Caenorhabditis elegans: one gene and its partner. The protein of the gene in region 2 purifies or fractionates together with the protein of the main gene of each other region. This does not show direct contact. Each region holds a gene or a part of one and is shown on either strand. Other genes may lie near its edges.

Evidence for each region.
Region 1: the proteins of chd-7 (region 2) and igcm-1 fractionate together in Caenorhabditis elegans (co-fractionation; one large-scale study listed by BioGRID). This does not show direct contact.

The regions. Positions count from the first base shown.
Region 1 is NC_003284.9:845,233-854,613, forward strand, and holds igcm-1 (B-cell receptor CD22-like), read right to left. Parts: upstream 6,290-9,381; 5' UTR 6,270-6,289; coding exon 6,206-6,269; intron 6,156-6,205; coding exon 5,999-6,155; intron 5,854-5,998; coding exon 5,654-5,853; intron 4,853-5,653; coding exon 4,741-4,852; intron 4,694-4,740; coding exon 4,610-4,693; intron 4,535-4,609; coding exon 4,138-4,534; intron 4,004-4,137; coding exon 3,861-4,003; intron 3,814-3,860; coding exon 3,591-3,813; intron 3,543-3,590; coding exon 3,387-3,542; intron 3,338-3,386; coding exon 2,480-3,337; intron 2,260-2,479; coding exon 2,044-2,259; intron 1,900-2,043; coding exon 1,719-1,899; intron 1,667-1,718; coding exon 1,531-1,666; intron 1,481-1,530; coding exon 1,370-1,480; intron 1,328-1,369; coding exon 1,230-1,327; intron 757-1,229; coding exon 671-756; 3' UTR 499-670; downstream 1-498.
Region 2 is NC_003279.8:4,694,484-4,701,942, reverse strand, and holds the start of chd-7 (Chromodomain and Helicase Domain protein), read left to right. Parts: upstream 1-3,367; 5' UTR 3,368-3,508; coding exon 3,509-3,518; intron 3,519-4,055; coding exon 4,056-4,441; intron 4,442-4,753; coding exon 4,754-5,266; intron 5,267-5,891; coding exon 5,892-6,557; intron 6,558-6,604; coding exon 6,605-7,459.

The DNA of each region.
Region 1 (9,381 bases), on a different chromosome or scaffold from region 2:
AAATTTATTGTTAATTTTCAAGAAAGAATAGTGCATATTTGACTGCCAAACTCTGCGTGCAATTATCTGAAACATTTCAAATTTGTAGAGAATTTTTATTTGGTCGGCATACCATGATCGGCAAAAATTGAGTATTTGTTTTCGAATGTTAAAAACTTCAAAAATATTTTTTAAAGCTTTACCTAAATTTTTCTAGACATTTTAGCAATGTACAAGTTATTTCAAACATTGTTCTTACTGGAACCAGAAATAAACTTTGAAAAAATGTTTCACGAGTACTTCGGCGGAATGTAGACACGTTCTATTATGCCAACTGAGCCAAACAAACTCAAATATCATCAAAAAGTCCAAAAACTCAACTCAATTCTAACATCCGTCTCTAAAATTGCTCGAAGGAATGTGTTTCTAATAAATATATAATGACATTCAAATTAAAAGCATATGCGGACATTCATAAAAATTTTGTGTGTTGTTTTAAGATTAACGCATACATAATTTGATTATAGAATTTTATTAAGGAAAAATTAGAGCTCAAAAAAAGCTCAAAAACACACTGTTAAGTTAACTATCAACACGTTATTACTGTTGTTTAAACGACCCGAATATTTAACAACGTCATACAATGAAAGAAGTTTGTGAGGGGGGAAGAATGACAAAAAATATGACAAAATTAAACAATAATCTCTCGAACGATTCGTCGATCTTCATCACTGTTCTCCAGTACATCACCGTTTGTAAAGCCGGATAGTGAAGTATCTGAAAGTTGAATCGTTTGGTCTACAAAAATTGCGGCAGGATTTAACAAGTGCGTCTGTAAGTTATATAGCCACCCGTGGTGTCAGAGTGTCTCATTTCGGTTTGATCTACGTAGATCTGAAAGAACGCGAGAGTTGCGACGTAGAGTTCTCATCAGATTTTGCATGGTTAAGAACGTGCTGACGTCACATTTTTTGGCCAAAACGTTCCCGCATGTTTTGTAGATTAAACCGTAATGACACAGCCTGACACCACGTGTAGCCAGCTACCAATTAAGTTCACTGTATGGCTAAAATGGAATAAAGCATAATTACTTAAATGGGCAATTGCATTTATCAGTCAATCGGGAATTGGGCAATAAGTTAGTAGTAGGGTTATTGATTTTATTATAGTGCAGAAAATATTCAAGAAAATTCGATCTACTTACCAATTAATCTTTTTACATATCTAGGAAATAGAATTTTCTAACTCACTTTTTAAAACTTCTGTATTTTCTTGTAAATAACAATCTGTGGACACATCATATTCCATATTCAAACCGGGCGGTTTCGTCGACTTTGCATCATGTTGACTAAAACTTTTGAAGTTATTCGAATTTAAATATTCTCCTAACCTCAAATGATTAGTTTCGTTTTCCGTTATTGCAAATGTTGCGTGCTTTGGTTCTTCATAATCTGCAGGCCTTTTCAATTCATCTCCAGGTAGGGAAGTAAGAATGATTGGCCTAAAAATGAGTAAAGTAGGAAAACATATATTTTAATTTTTTTTGCTTACGAAAGTTTTGAAGTTTTTGGATTTGATCGAGTTTTGCAGCAGACAAGGAAGAATACGCAGATAGCAAGACCAATGAAAATGAAGAATAAAAATGGGAAAAACACGTTGGTCTTCCAAACTGAACCAGAACCGCTTGCTGAAATTTTATTTTGGCTTCAGACTAAACTTCACATTAAAAAAAAACTTACAAATAGTTTTAGAAACTGGTGAGCATTTAAGTCCATTAGCAGTTGTGCAGAACCTTGCTCTATATTCTCTTCCAGGAATGATATTTCCGATAGGGTTGCTTGATGTATGGCAAGTGCTGGTTCTCCATATTCCATCAAGAAATACGTAGAGCAATGTGCAAGCATCCGATGGTAGTTTTGGCTGAAAATATTGACTAGTTTTTTTTCACGATTCAGTCATTGTGCATAGTCAATATCACGAAGTGAGCAACAAACTGCATAACTAGCACTATTCCGTAAAAATGCCCCTTGGATTTCCAATATCCAGAGTCTGCCATTTACCCACCTCAACATTAATCTTCTGTTCACTGGAATCCAGAACTAGGCGGCTTGGGGACATCATGTTCGCGTCTTCAACGACGTCTTCAGTGGAGGCAATTAGAACCGGCGTAAATTCCGATTCGCCTTTCTCGCTAACAGCTTGAATGCGTAAATTGTAAGTGGATAATGGGGTAAGCCCGGTGAAGTTGAAGATGTTCTTCGACACTAGCGTGCCGTCGATCTGCGATAAAAATGGAGATGATTATGAGTGTTTTAATGGCGGTAATGGAATAGTTTCTGGTCGTATTTTTGAATTGGTCAGTATAAAAAAGAGTGGAATCTAGATGTTTCTGAGACGGATGTAATAAATAAATAGGTTTTTTTTAAAGTTGGTTGGTGCAACGTAATAAAAATCTGTTGGTGCGTAACCCCGTTATATATTTCCAAATCAATCTACCAACCTCCTGATCTTGTTGCACGGCATTAATATTCAGCTTTGACACTGGAGCATTTCCGTCGATTTCTCCAGTGAATGGGTCAATCTTCCTTGTTTCCAGCACATACGTTTGATCAGCACCTCCGTCAAATTGTGGGACCCATCCAAGCAGAACAGAGTTTGAAGTAGCCGACAGCTTTTGAAGGTCCAATGGAAGTGCTGGTGGACTAGTCTTTCTCAATTCAATCACAACATGGTCGCCGCCATTGCCATTTGTTGCTCGGCACACGTACTCTCCGTAATCGGATTCTTGCACACTTTCAATTTGGAGCAATTGCTCGTATTCATCAGGTTTTCCAGTGATTCCGACAGTATGGAACGAGTGTCTCTCATTTTCGGAAATTTCCGAGTCTCTAAACATCCAATGAAACTCTGGCTCTGGTCTCGCAGAGACTTTGCAACGGATGATTGCTTGGGATCCAATATCAGCAGCGGCTAGTGACTTTTCTGGGAACTTCCTGTTTAAGAACACCGGCTTATGAAGAACTCGAACAATTGTCCACGAGCTGCTGTCTTTATCGGTTTTGTCAGACCCATTATCAGCCACACATGTAAAATTTCCTTTGTCCGACCATTTCAGAGGACCCGCAAGTGTCAAGGTACTAGCAACCGTCTGAGTACAGAAATCCTCTGGAAGGCATTTTGATTCGGATGTTGCAGATGAAGCGTAGATGCTCTGTTTTACTGGACGCCCATCTTTCAGCCATTTGATAACAGGAGATGGATATCCTTGAGCCTCACACTCCAGTATTTTCCCTTGTTCTCCAGATGTGAAAATTCGCTCAGTGGCAAGGGGACTAGAAATTCGAGCTTTTTCAATGACCTGAAACAAATAGGTTGGTTATGAGAAACTACAGTATTAATTATCTTACCGTGATCATTACTGTTCCAATTTTTCCTTCTCCTAGATCGTTGTATGCCTTGCAAGAATATACGCCATTATCCGATAACTGAGCATTCCTGACTTCAAATGACTTTTCTGTGTGGCCTTCCAAGCCGAAAATTCCACCGGATGATGGAGAAGCCCACTATAAGAATTTTCCTAAAATTCGGAGAACATTTCAAGCCAAACTCACCGTATAAGAAGCACTCGGATTTCCTGCATCTTCAGCTTGACACATCAACTTGATAGTCTCTCCAACATCTACGTTCTGTCGAGCACTAACAATTTGAGCCTGACCAGGCTTTCGCTTGACGTCAACAATTGTCGTTCCTGTGCCCATTCGTTGCTGTGACCCAGAATGTCCGTAGACTGTCAAAAAGTTGGTCGCCATACATGTGTAATTTCCACTTTGCGCTCTAAATTGGAATTTTTTAAAGTGAAATTCGAGAAAAAATATTTTTACTTTGAAATTGATGTAATTGTCAATCTGGACCCATTCTGCTTGAAACCATTTGGTCCAACCCATTTGATATCAATGACTTCTGGAACTGCACTGACTTCACACAGAATATCAATATCTTCCATTTCGTTAGGGCTGATTGACTCCTGAAAAAGTTGTTATAAAAATTTTTTTTTTAAGTATTTGGTTTGTTATGTTATAGCCAGATATTGACCGGGTAGTTTTTTGTTAAAAAATTATTTGGGTTCGCGATTATTCCAACAGTATAATCAAAACTAACCGGAACATTAATTCTTGGTATGTGCTGTACAACCATTTTCAAAACAGCTGTGCCTTCTCCCAGTTCATTTGTCGATCTACACTCGAAATCTCCGCTCATTGAGCTGTCAACTCGGATTGGCCAGATTTTTCCCTGATATCGTTCCCCTGACGCAATATGCTTCCATTCATAACTATGAGCTGGGGGATTTGAAGCTGAGTTGCAAGTTAAATTGACCAGCTCTCCTTCTTCTACTGACAAGTGAGTGAGGTTTTCGGTTGGCGTTACGAAGACGACTGGTTTGTAGAGCACGTTAAGCTGGGAACTTTTCACTTGTTTTGTTTCTCCGCCAAGCATGGCTCTGTTAGTGACGTCACACTGCACGGATTTTCCGTCATCGCTTGAGGTTACGCGGAAACTGAAATAATTGAATTGTTAGTAGAATTTTAAAGGGAGGTTATTTAAATTATAATCTAATTTTTTTTAAACTCACTGTAACAAACTTTCGGTTGCACCGTCCCTAAACTGAGTTGTAAAAATAGCTGAACTCGCAATTGTATCATTCGGTAGTGTCCATCTGAAAAAAATTACTTCTAACAATCCCCGAACTTTTCGAGAACTCACGTGAATGTTGGCTGTGGGCTTCCACCAACCGAGACACACTTGGCAGTCATAAAGTCTCCTTCAATTACGCTCTCGGAAGGTGTAGTGCTAATAATTGGGTCACCAGGTGGAACTGAAATATGTATTTCATTATTTGACATGAACATGAGTGGTAGTAATTATTTTGAAATTGACTTGTTGCGTTGAAATACGATATGGTTGGTTTTCTGGTTTTCTATTAAATTTTACTTTTTAGTTCATTTCTGGAAAATTGTTCTGAACAAAGAAATTAGTACCAGCAAAAAAAATTGAATGGAGATGTTTCCGGTCGCACTGACAATTTTTAGTGACACAAACAATCAAGCGAGCACCGACCAAGTTTATCAAGGCGCTGCTCAAACTTAACAATGCAGTGACCAACTTGAGTTATGCACTGACAAAATTGAAAAATGCTATAATTTTAAATAAGTAATTATTGAGTAATGCTACTTGAAAGTAATTTTCTAGCCTAACCCTGTTATTCTATGTATATCGGGAAAACTTAAAATTGTTTTATCTCCTCCATAAAACAAAAACGGTCACCAAAATAACGTTTCTAATTCAATACTATATTTTCATTTTTGTTCTAGGAAATTACTTCCAACAAAAAGGTCAGCATTATTAGTGCCAGCCTACTGCGCATAGGTCAATAATTGGCAGTTGTCATGCACAAAAAAAAGTACAAGTGGTAATGGGTTTGGAAAGAATAACTGGACAGTGACAAAATTGATAAATGCACTGATTAGTATGAGCGGTGCACTGACAAAGTTATCATTGAAGAATGTTAATTCAGGTAGTTAAACTGGGGTTTAACAACAATTTTTCTGGAGAAAGAACAATATTTGATCGCATATTTGAAAATCACCTTATCAATTGAAAAATGCTAATCTCTTACCTAAAACAACAACGGTCGCCAGCGCGGAGTACTGCACATCCGAATCATCTGTTCCAATTACATTACAATGGTAAGTCCCTTCGACACTATTCTTTTCCACTTCAGTGATTCGAAGGCTATAGTTTCCTGTCGCCGAATCATTCTCCAAAATGAACCTTGAATGCTTTTTTGCGAGAAGTTTGTCGTTTTTCGTGATCATTCTATAATATTGACATTGCAATTATGAAGTTGATGGGATTCGGAGAATAGAAATGAGAAGTTTCATTTTAACCACTGTTAGAGTGAAGCATGAAATTGGTGAGAAACTTATTGAAAACATAAATTTGAAATTTGAAAAATGCTCACCTCAACTGTCCATTATTGTACCTCGCCCAGTTGATTTCATACTTTTGTCTGTCAAAATACTCTGGTTTCACGACACATGGGATGACAATTCCCTCATTTCCTTCTTGGAGAAAATACGGTTCCGAGCTGGGTTCTTTTAAGAACACATCTGATGAATCTGAAATTGTCAATAAATTTTTTGTTAAAAATTTTTCGAATTTCAATTACCTGCACTATTGGTGAGTTGCACTAAAAATAAGAAAAATAGGAAAAATAACCGCTTCCCTCCCATCTGGTTGGTAGAATTCCTCTGAAATTATTTAAACTTTGTAAGACTGTATTAAACAAAAAAAATAATGAGAATGAAAAGGATTACAAGAAGTTGAACATTGAATTGAAAATGAAAAACAAGACAGAAAGTATCAAAATATCATTAAATGACCTTTTGAAAATAATCGAATTTGATTTAAAAAAACAATCAGAAGGGTTTTTTTTCAAAATTAGTGAACTTTTTTCAAGGTCTATGAAAACAAAGTCCAAATCTCAGGCCTATGCTTAGGCTCAATATTAAGTGTGGGCTTAAGCATAGGGCTAGGCCTTAGACTTTATATTTTTAGACTTTTGAAATGAAATAGTTTTTGAGATGACATAAATTCGCTTACTGAAAGATAACACTGGATTTTAAATCCTCTATACGCAAAAAAAACCAAAAAGCACAAAAAGTGTAACATAAGGGTGTTCAATTTCACACCAATATTTCCACATGGTTGCTCCGCAACTCTCAGATATCCAAAATTCTATTTCAAATCTTTCAAGTGAAACTAAGTAAAAAAGAGAAAAAATAAGCACGAAAATTAGACAGGCCGAATCAAAGAAAAAGAACCGATGGAACTGGTTGAATGTGGGAGAATTGGAGGCAAAAAAAAGATCGTGAAGATTAGTATTTAGTTCGGCAACAGCCTTCTCCTCCCGTAGTCGGGAAATGACACATTTGTTGGAAGATGGGGAGAATGGAGGAATTAAAATTTAGAAGTTTGCAACTTAGATACTCTCGATTTCAAAGAAACTCACACATTGGCGGCATGTTGAGTGCAACAAGCGTTGGTTTAGTTAGGAATAACATGCATAGTATTACTGTATTTCTGGTTGTTTTGGGTTTGTGCCAAAAAAATATATTCAAAATTTTCTTGCAATTCGATGATTCGGCAATTGCCGAGTTTTAACATATTTGGTAACTGCCGAAATTTTTTTTATTATTTTTCAACAGCCCGATGATTCAAAAATTAGGCAATTTAACATTTATCGAGTACAAAAATCACAAAACAATTCAAAAAATCAGCTAAAACTAATTTGTTCTGTAATTTTTCCCAACTCTGAATATCTGAAAATTGGATCACAAATTTGCAAACTTTCTGATCAAAAATGCACTAGCAATGCATATAATTTGTTAAAATAATACAAAACCCAGCACACCGGCACAATAGCAGTAATTAGCTGGGTTTGACATACCTTGAAAAGGGGGGGGGGTATTGTCTAAACTAATAAAACCAAGGCAACCACCATGTGTGGAACACAAATTTGTCGCAATTCATATTGAAAAGCTGTCAGAATGGCAATGAGGTGAGGGGACGTGCTTTTGGAGGCTACTCTACCTAACCACCATGTCCGCGATTATTTTTCGGAGAGAGGGAGACCGAGAGAGAGAAAAGGGACTGACTGTGGCTAATTATGAGACGTAATTACGGGGGGTGCGACGCGAAGGACTTAGAAACAAATAAATGGTAGGGGCGAACGAAAGAACATACAGCCCCACCGACAATTCATTCACACAAGCCCCAGCAGCACCAATTAAAAATTCGTTAGCCGGTGTTCCTATTTAGTTGTTTTTGGTTTCAGATTCCGCTTGTTTTGGAATTGTTGGAAGCCGAAAATTGGCAGCTTCAAAACGTTAATTATGACAATGTTTAAGCTGAACGGGGATGGAACATATAACACAGCTTAAACAGGCTATTATAAATCGAGAAGATGGCTATACATATGTATGTTTGGTGATTAACCAGCGTTATGTATGAAATTGTCTTTTCAAAGCCTTCAAGTTGAACATTTAATTTAATAAAATTAAACAAAAACGGAATCAGACGACAATTATGCCGGACAAAAGTGACATTATATTTGGTGATTGACTGGGGTTTCCAAGTTTTGTGATTTATATTCATAGCGATGGCTACAAAAAATAATGGCTTTTTAGAATAGGATTTGAAAAATGTAAGAATCAAGCTAAAAGCATAAGAATTAGTTTAACAAGCAACTTTTACTCTCTAATTTCCTGTCAAGCCTAAAATTTTTTTTACAAAAATAGTCTCAAAGCTTTTCTTTTCTCTTAATCTCAAGACAAAAGCCCAATAGCTCAATTTCGCCACCACGCTTGGCTCTAATTATGAAAACAGTTAAAATAATTCAATCAAAATACCCATTTATTTCCCTCACACCACCCGAACATAAATCTCCTCATTTAAGTGTACACCTGATCCAGATAGAGATTTAGTAGAAATGTGAGCCGGGCCTACAGCTCAGGTAGCACCTGGACACCTTTTCTTAATCCTAAAATGGGGGATTTTAGTGCAACTGGGGAAGGGGGAAGGGGTGCTAATAATAATTTTTGGTTTTGGGTAGTAATTGTAATGAGGAAGACAGGACACAAACCTAGAAAAAAGGGAAATGTGATGCGAGGTTTGTTCTGAATCAGTATTTGAGAACTTATTCAGATATCATAATTAAACAGTTATATGTAAATTTAGTTAGTAACAAAACAATGATTTAAAATGTTAACTAATTTTGCAATGACCGCAACGCAAAGGTGAGAAAAAACCACTCGTGCGTGTGAAAAACCACTTATTGAATTACCGAATTTCAATTTTTTTTTTGAAAAACAAAAACAAAGCCAAATAGGAATTTTTCAAATTAATTACATTTTCAAATTTCAAAAAATTGAGCGTTATTTTTTTAATATTTACCAAGTGCCACATTATAAAACTTCAAAACCCATTCAAAAAGTGTCAAGAAACAGAGAAAACGCCGAGAATGGTAAGAAGTAGTGGGCAGCAGGAGAGCAACAGGAGCCCACCAAAGGTAAATAGTGTGGGGGGGGGGGGGGGACGCTGACCTGTAGCTGAGTGTGCAGCCGAGCAGCAGAATAGGAACGAATAAATTTGACGGTAGAGACGGTGAGAGAGAGGGGACTTGTTTGGTTCCCGTTGCGGTGGTGCGCGGGAAGAGCCTACCATGTTTTTGTGCGGCGAATTGTGAATTGCTTTTCTTTTTTCTTCATTTTTATTGGAACTGGAAGTCGAACTAGGGTCTCGAATTACAATATGATGTTTCTGTTTTGTTCTTTTATTGTTTCC
Region 2 (7,459 bases):
TCTACACAACTTCTGCTCTTCCCGCGCCACGCCCCCTGGGTTTCAATATGTCTGGGTCTCTTCAACTTTCTACACTTTACGGTTGCGTAATATTTTTACTCTTCAAGAAAGAAAATACTATTTCTTATTTAGACCATAAATTGTCAAAATTCAATCGAAACTTTACACTTAGACAATAACGATGAACTAATGGTCAGAAAGTGGAATTGTCTTATCATTTCTTATCAGTGATGATGCTCTCTCTCTTTCTCACTATGTCACTATCATTCATTTAGGGGGGTACCAATCGGCGGTGAAAAGCAAAAACCGCTCTTTTTCTCATTTAAACAGAACACACACAGACGACGCTCACACTGCGCTCACTCTCAAACACACACACATACACACCTTTGGCCGCTCATAACCAAAACGTCTGGGGGCGCACCTCTGGGTGGTTGAATTGGGAGGACCAAACGGGGGGAACAACGTGTGAGTGTTTTATGAGTTCCTTCTTTGCGCACACTCCACCGCTCACACAGAAAAAGAGGTCTGCGCAAGGCAAGCATCAGCAGCAGCAGCACGCTCTCTCTCTCCCTCTCTCTCTCTCTCTCGTAATAGTAGTATTGGTTAGTAGAAATGGAAGGAAGGAGGAGGTGGAAGAGACGACGACGCAGAGTAGTGGTCAGAACATGATCAGAGAACAGGTGAAATTGAGAAGAGCAGATGATAGACTATTGGAGAGTAGAGAGACGGACAGAAAGAGATTGTGCGCGTTTTTGTGGTGTAGAGAGGGGAAAGGGTTGTTGGCCAATAACACTCACCGATAGACAACACAGCAAAAACCAAGTTGCACATGCTTCTTCCTTTTTTCTTTTTTAAATCATATTTTTCCTATTGGTATTTTGTGGGATTTTCGGATTTGGATAACGACTTTTTTTCTGATATCATTATTATTTATCAAACTCATGTTCAGGGGATCTGTATATGGAGAATTCCATATGCCGAACTGAAATGTACTTGACCAGTAGTGTCAGAGTTCTCCCTTTCGGTTTGATCTACCAGAATTGTGGGAATTTAGATGACATCACATTTTTCTGAATTAAAAATTCCGATTTTTCTGTAGATCAAACCGTAATTGGAGAGCCTAAAACCAGGTTCTAGACAATATCTTCCGCCCTTAAAATTTCAAATTTTCCGCTACTTTTCTTTTGACTGGAATTTCCTGATTAAAATATGCGGTACTTCGTAAGAGTAAATAAATCGGTCCCTGTCTCGACGGCTTCACCATTTTCTGGGGGCCAATGTCGTCGGCGCGTCCTTTCCGTCCATTTGAACAGCTTGGCAAATTGCCAACGTTCTCTCTTTTTCTCTCGCACAGAGTCTCTACTGGCCAACTTGGCAAAATGCCAACTTTGGCGTTGTATCATCTTGTGTGATTAGGAAGTTCCTATGTTTTCCATTACTTCCGTAGAATTCGGAAAAAAAAATTCTGAAAATCTGTACTACTGCGATGTTTCATTTTAGCTAGCGAGTCGAGTCCGCTGATCAAATAAATATCTAGAGCTAAATGAACTGATTCATTTTTCGTCTACTGATGAATATGAAAGTTTGTGACGTAGAATTCATCTGTTGTTTGATGTCATGTGGCTGGCCAATTGGGTTTTCTCATTATCAGGTCTGCAGTTTATGTTGGTTTTATCTGTTTTTGCTTCAAGATTGATCGAAAGTTTTCTCGATAATTTGAAAGATATTTAGTAGTTTTTAAGAGTTTTTGGGTTCAACAAATTTGTAAAAAAATGTTTGAGGGGGAAATGAATTTTTTAAAATGAAAATACATCAATTATTGTGAATGCCCAAATGTTAGGTCTCAGCACGAAATCTTCTGTTTCTTTTTCTTCCGTTTTCCTGATTTTGAAAGTCTATTGTATTTAGATATTCCAGTTACTGAATTTGTTTAAAACTATATTTATTTTCGAAAAAAAAAATTTTCCAGAACAAAAACTTGACAGTAGGGCTTACAGTAACCATGGTTTCATCTTTAGAATGGTCAGTCTGGTTAATCGAGACGCAGTTAATCACTTGTTCGCTTCGTTTCTTCGATAAAAGAATGAATTGTATGTGAAAAAAAACACTTATCCTCGTTTTTCTCCTTCTACTCATCTCCAAAAACCAAAACCTTCATCATCATCTTCAATTTCATCTTGGTCAACCACCACCACCACCGCCGTCCTCCATCTCCTCCTCGACTCGATCCGTCCGGCGTCCTCCATCCTCATCATCATCATCATCAACAACATACCGGGAAGGGGACACAAATGTCCCAGCAGCGACCAAGAGGGGGTCCACCCCACACACATAGCACCTCTACTTTCTACATCTAACCCTCTTTCTCTGTGTGTGTGCTAGAATCGATTAGAAGAGTTGAGAGAGAAGAAGAGACGACCAAACAGCAAGAGATGATGAGAGAGTGCTCAAGCTCGGAGAGAGACATTAGACAGTGGGCAATGTGTGAGAAGGAGAGAGTAAGAGAGTCGAGAGAAGTGTCCTGGTCTGTGTGTCCGTTTCTTGTGTTCTTCTTCTTCTTATTCCTTTTCGTCTTGCCATGTCTGCATCTCGTATACTATAATACTATTCCCATGAACTCTCACTCTACTCATTCGTCCCCCCGTTTTTTTTTCTCATTGCCATTGCATACGCACTACACACACACATACACTCACCATCAAATTGAAAACGAAGATTCGTTTTTTTTTGAAGAACAAAAAAACTTCCTTTCTTTGGGTTTTTTCTGGCCTTTTTTGGTTGATGATGACTGTTGACGATAACATCTTTTTTGCAAAAAAAATTCGCGTCTTTTGGTTCTAGATACTTCCTTCCATTTATGTCTCCATTCGATTCCATAATATATTATTTATTCTGAAAACCTTGTAGCCCGATTCAAAAGTTCAATATTTTTTGTTCGCAACGAAGCGCATTTCAAAAATACGGTACCCGGTCTCGACACGACAATTTTTCTTTGGAAAAATGCTCCTTTAAAGAGTACTGTAACTTCAATATCGGAATTTTTATCGATATTTCTTTTTCTTTTCGATAAACATGTATTTATTACAACCCAAACATTTTTAAGAAATCATAAGAAAAACTATGAAAAATGTATTTAAATTATGTTTTTGAAACTACAATACTCTTTAAAGGCGCACATATTTTTGTATTTATCTAAAAAAATAGTCGTGTCGAGACCAAGTGCTGCTAAATTTCTAAAAATCAAATAATATTTTTCTTTTATATCTCGAACTACCATCTTTCTTTTTTCTTTTGTTTTTTCCTATCAATAGTGAAATAATCGGTCCTCAACATTTCAAATTTATTAATTTATTTTAATTTTCAGATGATAGGCTGCTGAATTAATATACAAATTCAAAAAGAAACAGCTGACGCATTGTGAAGAATTGGATTTTTTAAATTATATATTTTCGCTTTCTTTTTGTACAAGTTAATCTCATTATAACCACATAACCAAACACACAAAATGGATGAAGGTGAGTCTTTTTGGAAACATTTGAAAATTGAATTTATTTAAGTTCGAAATTTTTTATAGTATTGTAGATTCTTGAAAAATGTAATTCACTTTAGAGGTGCAAAGGGTCTTGCAACTATTTCTAGCATTTTTACAATCGAAACATTTATGTAACGATTTTTACTGTTTAGGGTCTCGACACGACTTTTTTTTTATTAAGTACAAACGTGTATGTGCCTTTAAAGATTACTGTAACTCAAAAATTTCGTTTCTACGAATTCTTCAAAGTTTCTCGTTAAAAGTTGATATATTTACTAAAAAACCAAAATAAATCACATAAATTTTAACAAATCGTGAGAAAAACTGAAAATCGAGGAAAATTCCGCAGCAACGAGAGTTTGCAACTACAGTACTCTTTGAAGGCGCATACCTTTTTTAAGATCATACAATTTAGAGTCTAGGTAATATTACATTTTTTGTTGCATAAGAAAAATTAATCATCATTTTAATAAAAAAAATATCGAATTCTAGTTTTGGGAATTATTCAAAATTTTTGCAGGCGACGACTACGTTCCACAAATGTCCCAAATGGCAGATTACACAATGATGGGCGGCCCGCCACCACAACAATCTCAACAATCTCAGCAGGGCGTTCCTCAACGGTATCCAGGTCAACCGATGAATCCATATGAACAACAACAACAGCATCATCAAATGATGATGATGCAGCAACAACATCAAATGCAGCACATGGCTCCACCACCACAACAAGTACCACCACAGCCAGCTCAGCCACCACCTGCAAAAAAGGCACGTGGAAAATCAAAAAAGGCTCAGGCAGAAGCGGCGGCGGCTGCAGCGGCGGCAGCAGCTGCACAGATGGATCCGATGGCGTCGATGGCGGCAATGTCGAATAATCCAATGATGAGACAGGGTGGATATCCGGTAAGTAGTTTATTTGGAAAATCTTGGAAATAAACTGCCTAAAAACTTTATTGATAGAAAAGAGCAGTTTTGGGATTTTGTTTTAAATAATAGACTACATATTAAAAAGTTAAAATTTTTTAAATTGTCTCGAAAATTTTAAAATTTAAATTATTTAAATATAAATATTCGATCATTTCAGACTATTTTCCATTATTTGAAAGTTTCAAATTGAAACAAAATCCCAAAACGACTCTACTCGACCTTTAAAATTATGAATATTTTATTTAAATATCTAAAGAATATCACTGACTCCTCTCAAAGTATTTTCAGAACCAAATGGCGATGTACGGCGGCGTTCCACCACCACACTATCCATCATCCAATGGTCCATCACAACAAGGGTACCGGCCAGGACCCGTAACAAATGGACCACCACCGCAAGGACAATATCCACCACCGCCACAAGCACCTCAGAACTATCAACAAATGTACCATCAACAACGAGCTCAACAACAACAAGCCGGCCAACAACAAGCCCAAGGGCCACCCGGATATGGTCCATATGGTTATGCACCACAGGCATCCACTGGATATCCACCACCACCCTCCCAACAATCACCGTATGCTCCACAAGCGGGACCTCCTCCACAGATGAGGCATCAATATCCACCACACAGTCAACAACAGGCACCACCAGGATATTGGGATGGTTATCAGGGTTACGGTGGACCACCACCTTCACAACAGCAGCAACAGCAAGGAGGTGGACCTGTGACGGCGCCTCAATCAATGCAAATGGCACAACAGGAACAATGGGGAAGAGTTGGAACCAATGATTTGATGGTGAGTTGGTAGTAGGAATGAAAATGCGAGAAATTGCAAACACAAACAATGAAAAGTCAAAATAAAGCCTCTTCTGAAAAACAAATTCAAATTCATCTTGATACTTGAGAAAAATTGAATTTTGTAGGTTTCACGTATAATTCTTTAGACTATTTTGCAAGAAATTTCCTACAATACGGTCAAAATATTATTGCCTAAAACCAACAAAATTCGATGTTTTTCAAACATTCAAAATATATTTGAATTTCAAATTTTAATGGATTTTTCGTCTTTTTGAATTGATGTGCAAAATATCTCGTAGCGAAAACTACAGTGATTATTTAAATGAATACTGTAGATTTACAGGGCTCGATTTTTTAAATTAGCAAAAAATGAGAAAATACGAAAAAGCGAAGGAAAATGGTATGTAGCTACTCGATAGAATACTCGTTTCGAAAGTCGAGCCCATAAATCGATATAAGAGCTACAGTAGTCATTTACACAATTACTGTAGTTTTCGCTACGAGATATTCTGCGCGTCAAATATGTTGCGCATTACGCATTCTCAGAATTTCGGGTTCCCGTAATATGTGTTTGTGGTTCAAATTTTAAAAATAAAAACTAAACTAAATCACTTATTTTTCAGAACGTCATTGCTCAAGTGGAAAAATCATCTGCAGAATGCAAGGCACGAATTCAACAACTCTACAATATGCAACGAAGTGCGTCGGCTGACGCAGAAGTTCAACAGCTGCAACATAAACTTGCTCAGTTCCAAAGTGATCATTATCGGTACAGCCAACAGCTTCAACACGTGCAGTGGCAACAGCAGCAACAACAACAACAAGCTGCTGCTGCTGCAGCGGCGGCCGCAGCAGCTGCATCTGCTGGCGGACATCATCAAGGACCACCACCACCAACGTCTTCCCAATCGAATCAAATTCCATCGAATCCGAACTCAGTGCCAGTTCATGTGAATCAACCTGGAAGTCAAGTTCATATAACCGCTGATAAGACGAGGACACTGATATCTGTCTACCACGATGGTTACGGAGGTGCGGGATCTGGAGCCAGCTCCACTGAAAGCAAGGAATCTATTGTGCCGCCTGAGCCAACTCCGTCTATGCAAGAATCACCGGTTCCAAATGCTCCACAGGTTAAGATGGAACCAGAGAAACCATCGCCGTATCAGCAACAGTATAATGGAATGGAGAATGGTTCTGGAAATCCGTATGCTCAGCAACAACAGCAGCATCCGATGTATGCACAGTATCAACAGCAGCAGCAGCAGCATGCTCAACATCAGCAGAACGTAAGCTTGTAATTCCTAATTAATTCTTAAATTTTTGAATATTTCAGATGTCTGGATATCCTCAACAGCAGCAACAACCTCAACATCCTCACCAGCATCAACAGCCTGCTTCGGTCCCAATGCAACATCATCCTCAGCAACATCCATCCCAACATCAAACCCAACCCAACCAACAACAGCAGCAGCACCCATCCGGATACGGTATCGGTGTTAGTACGGCGCCGGCTTCAATGGAACCATCACAATCAGTGGATCAATCAGCACCACCGAGTCAAGCCCAAATTCCGGCAACTTCTACTCCATCGACATCATCTCAACAGCAGAACGCCTACCCGGAGTTTCCTGATTTTCCATCGTCGTCAGGATATCAAGAGCCTACTGTTGCTCCTGAAGCCATACCATCTCCATCTGTATCTGATCCGATAATGCCACAGTCTTCTCAAAACGATCAAGAACTTCAGGCAATTAGTGATCAACAGGAAATTCTAGAGGACGTTCCGAAAGAAGAACCAATAATAGAAGAGGATGAACCAAAGTATGAGTATTCTCAAGAAACGATTCCAGTTGAAGAACTGAAAGATGAAGTGGAATTTAAAGAGGATCAACAATCAACTTCGAATCTATTAGAAGATGATACAGGAATTGATAATTTTGTAAAGAATGAAGAAGGTGCTGAAGCGGGTTATAGTAATGGAACTCCTTTGGATCAAGTTGAGCAGAATGATTACGAAAACATTGAGAAAGAAGAGCCACAAGTGTCAGTAGATCCCGAGCCCGTGGAAGTTGAAGCTCAACAAGAACCAGCAGATACTGAGGAATATCCTATCCCATCTGTTGGAACAATTGAAGAGCCCGCCGAAGAGCCCGCTGAAGAGCCCGTCGAAGAGCCGGAGCCAATGGAT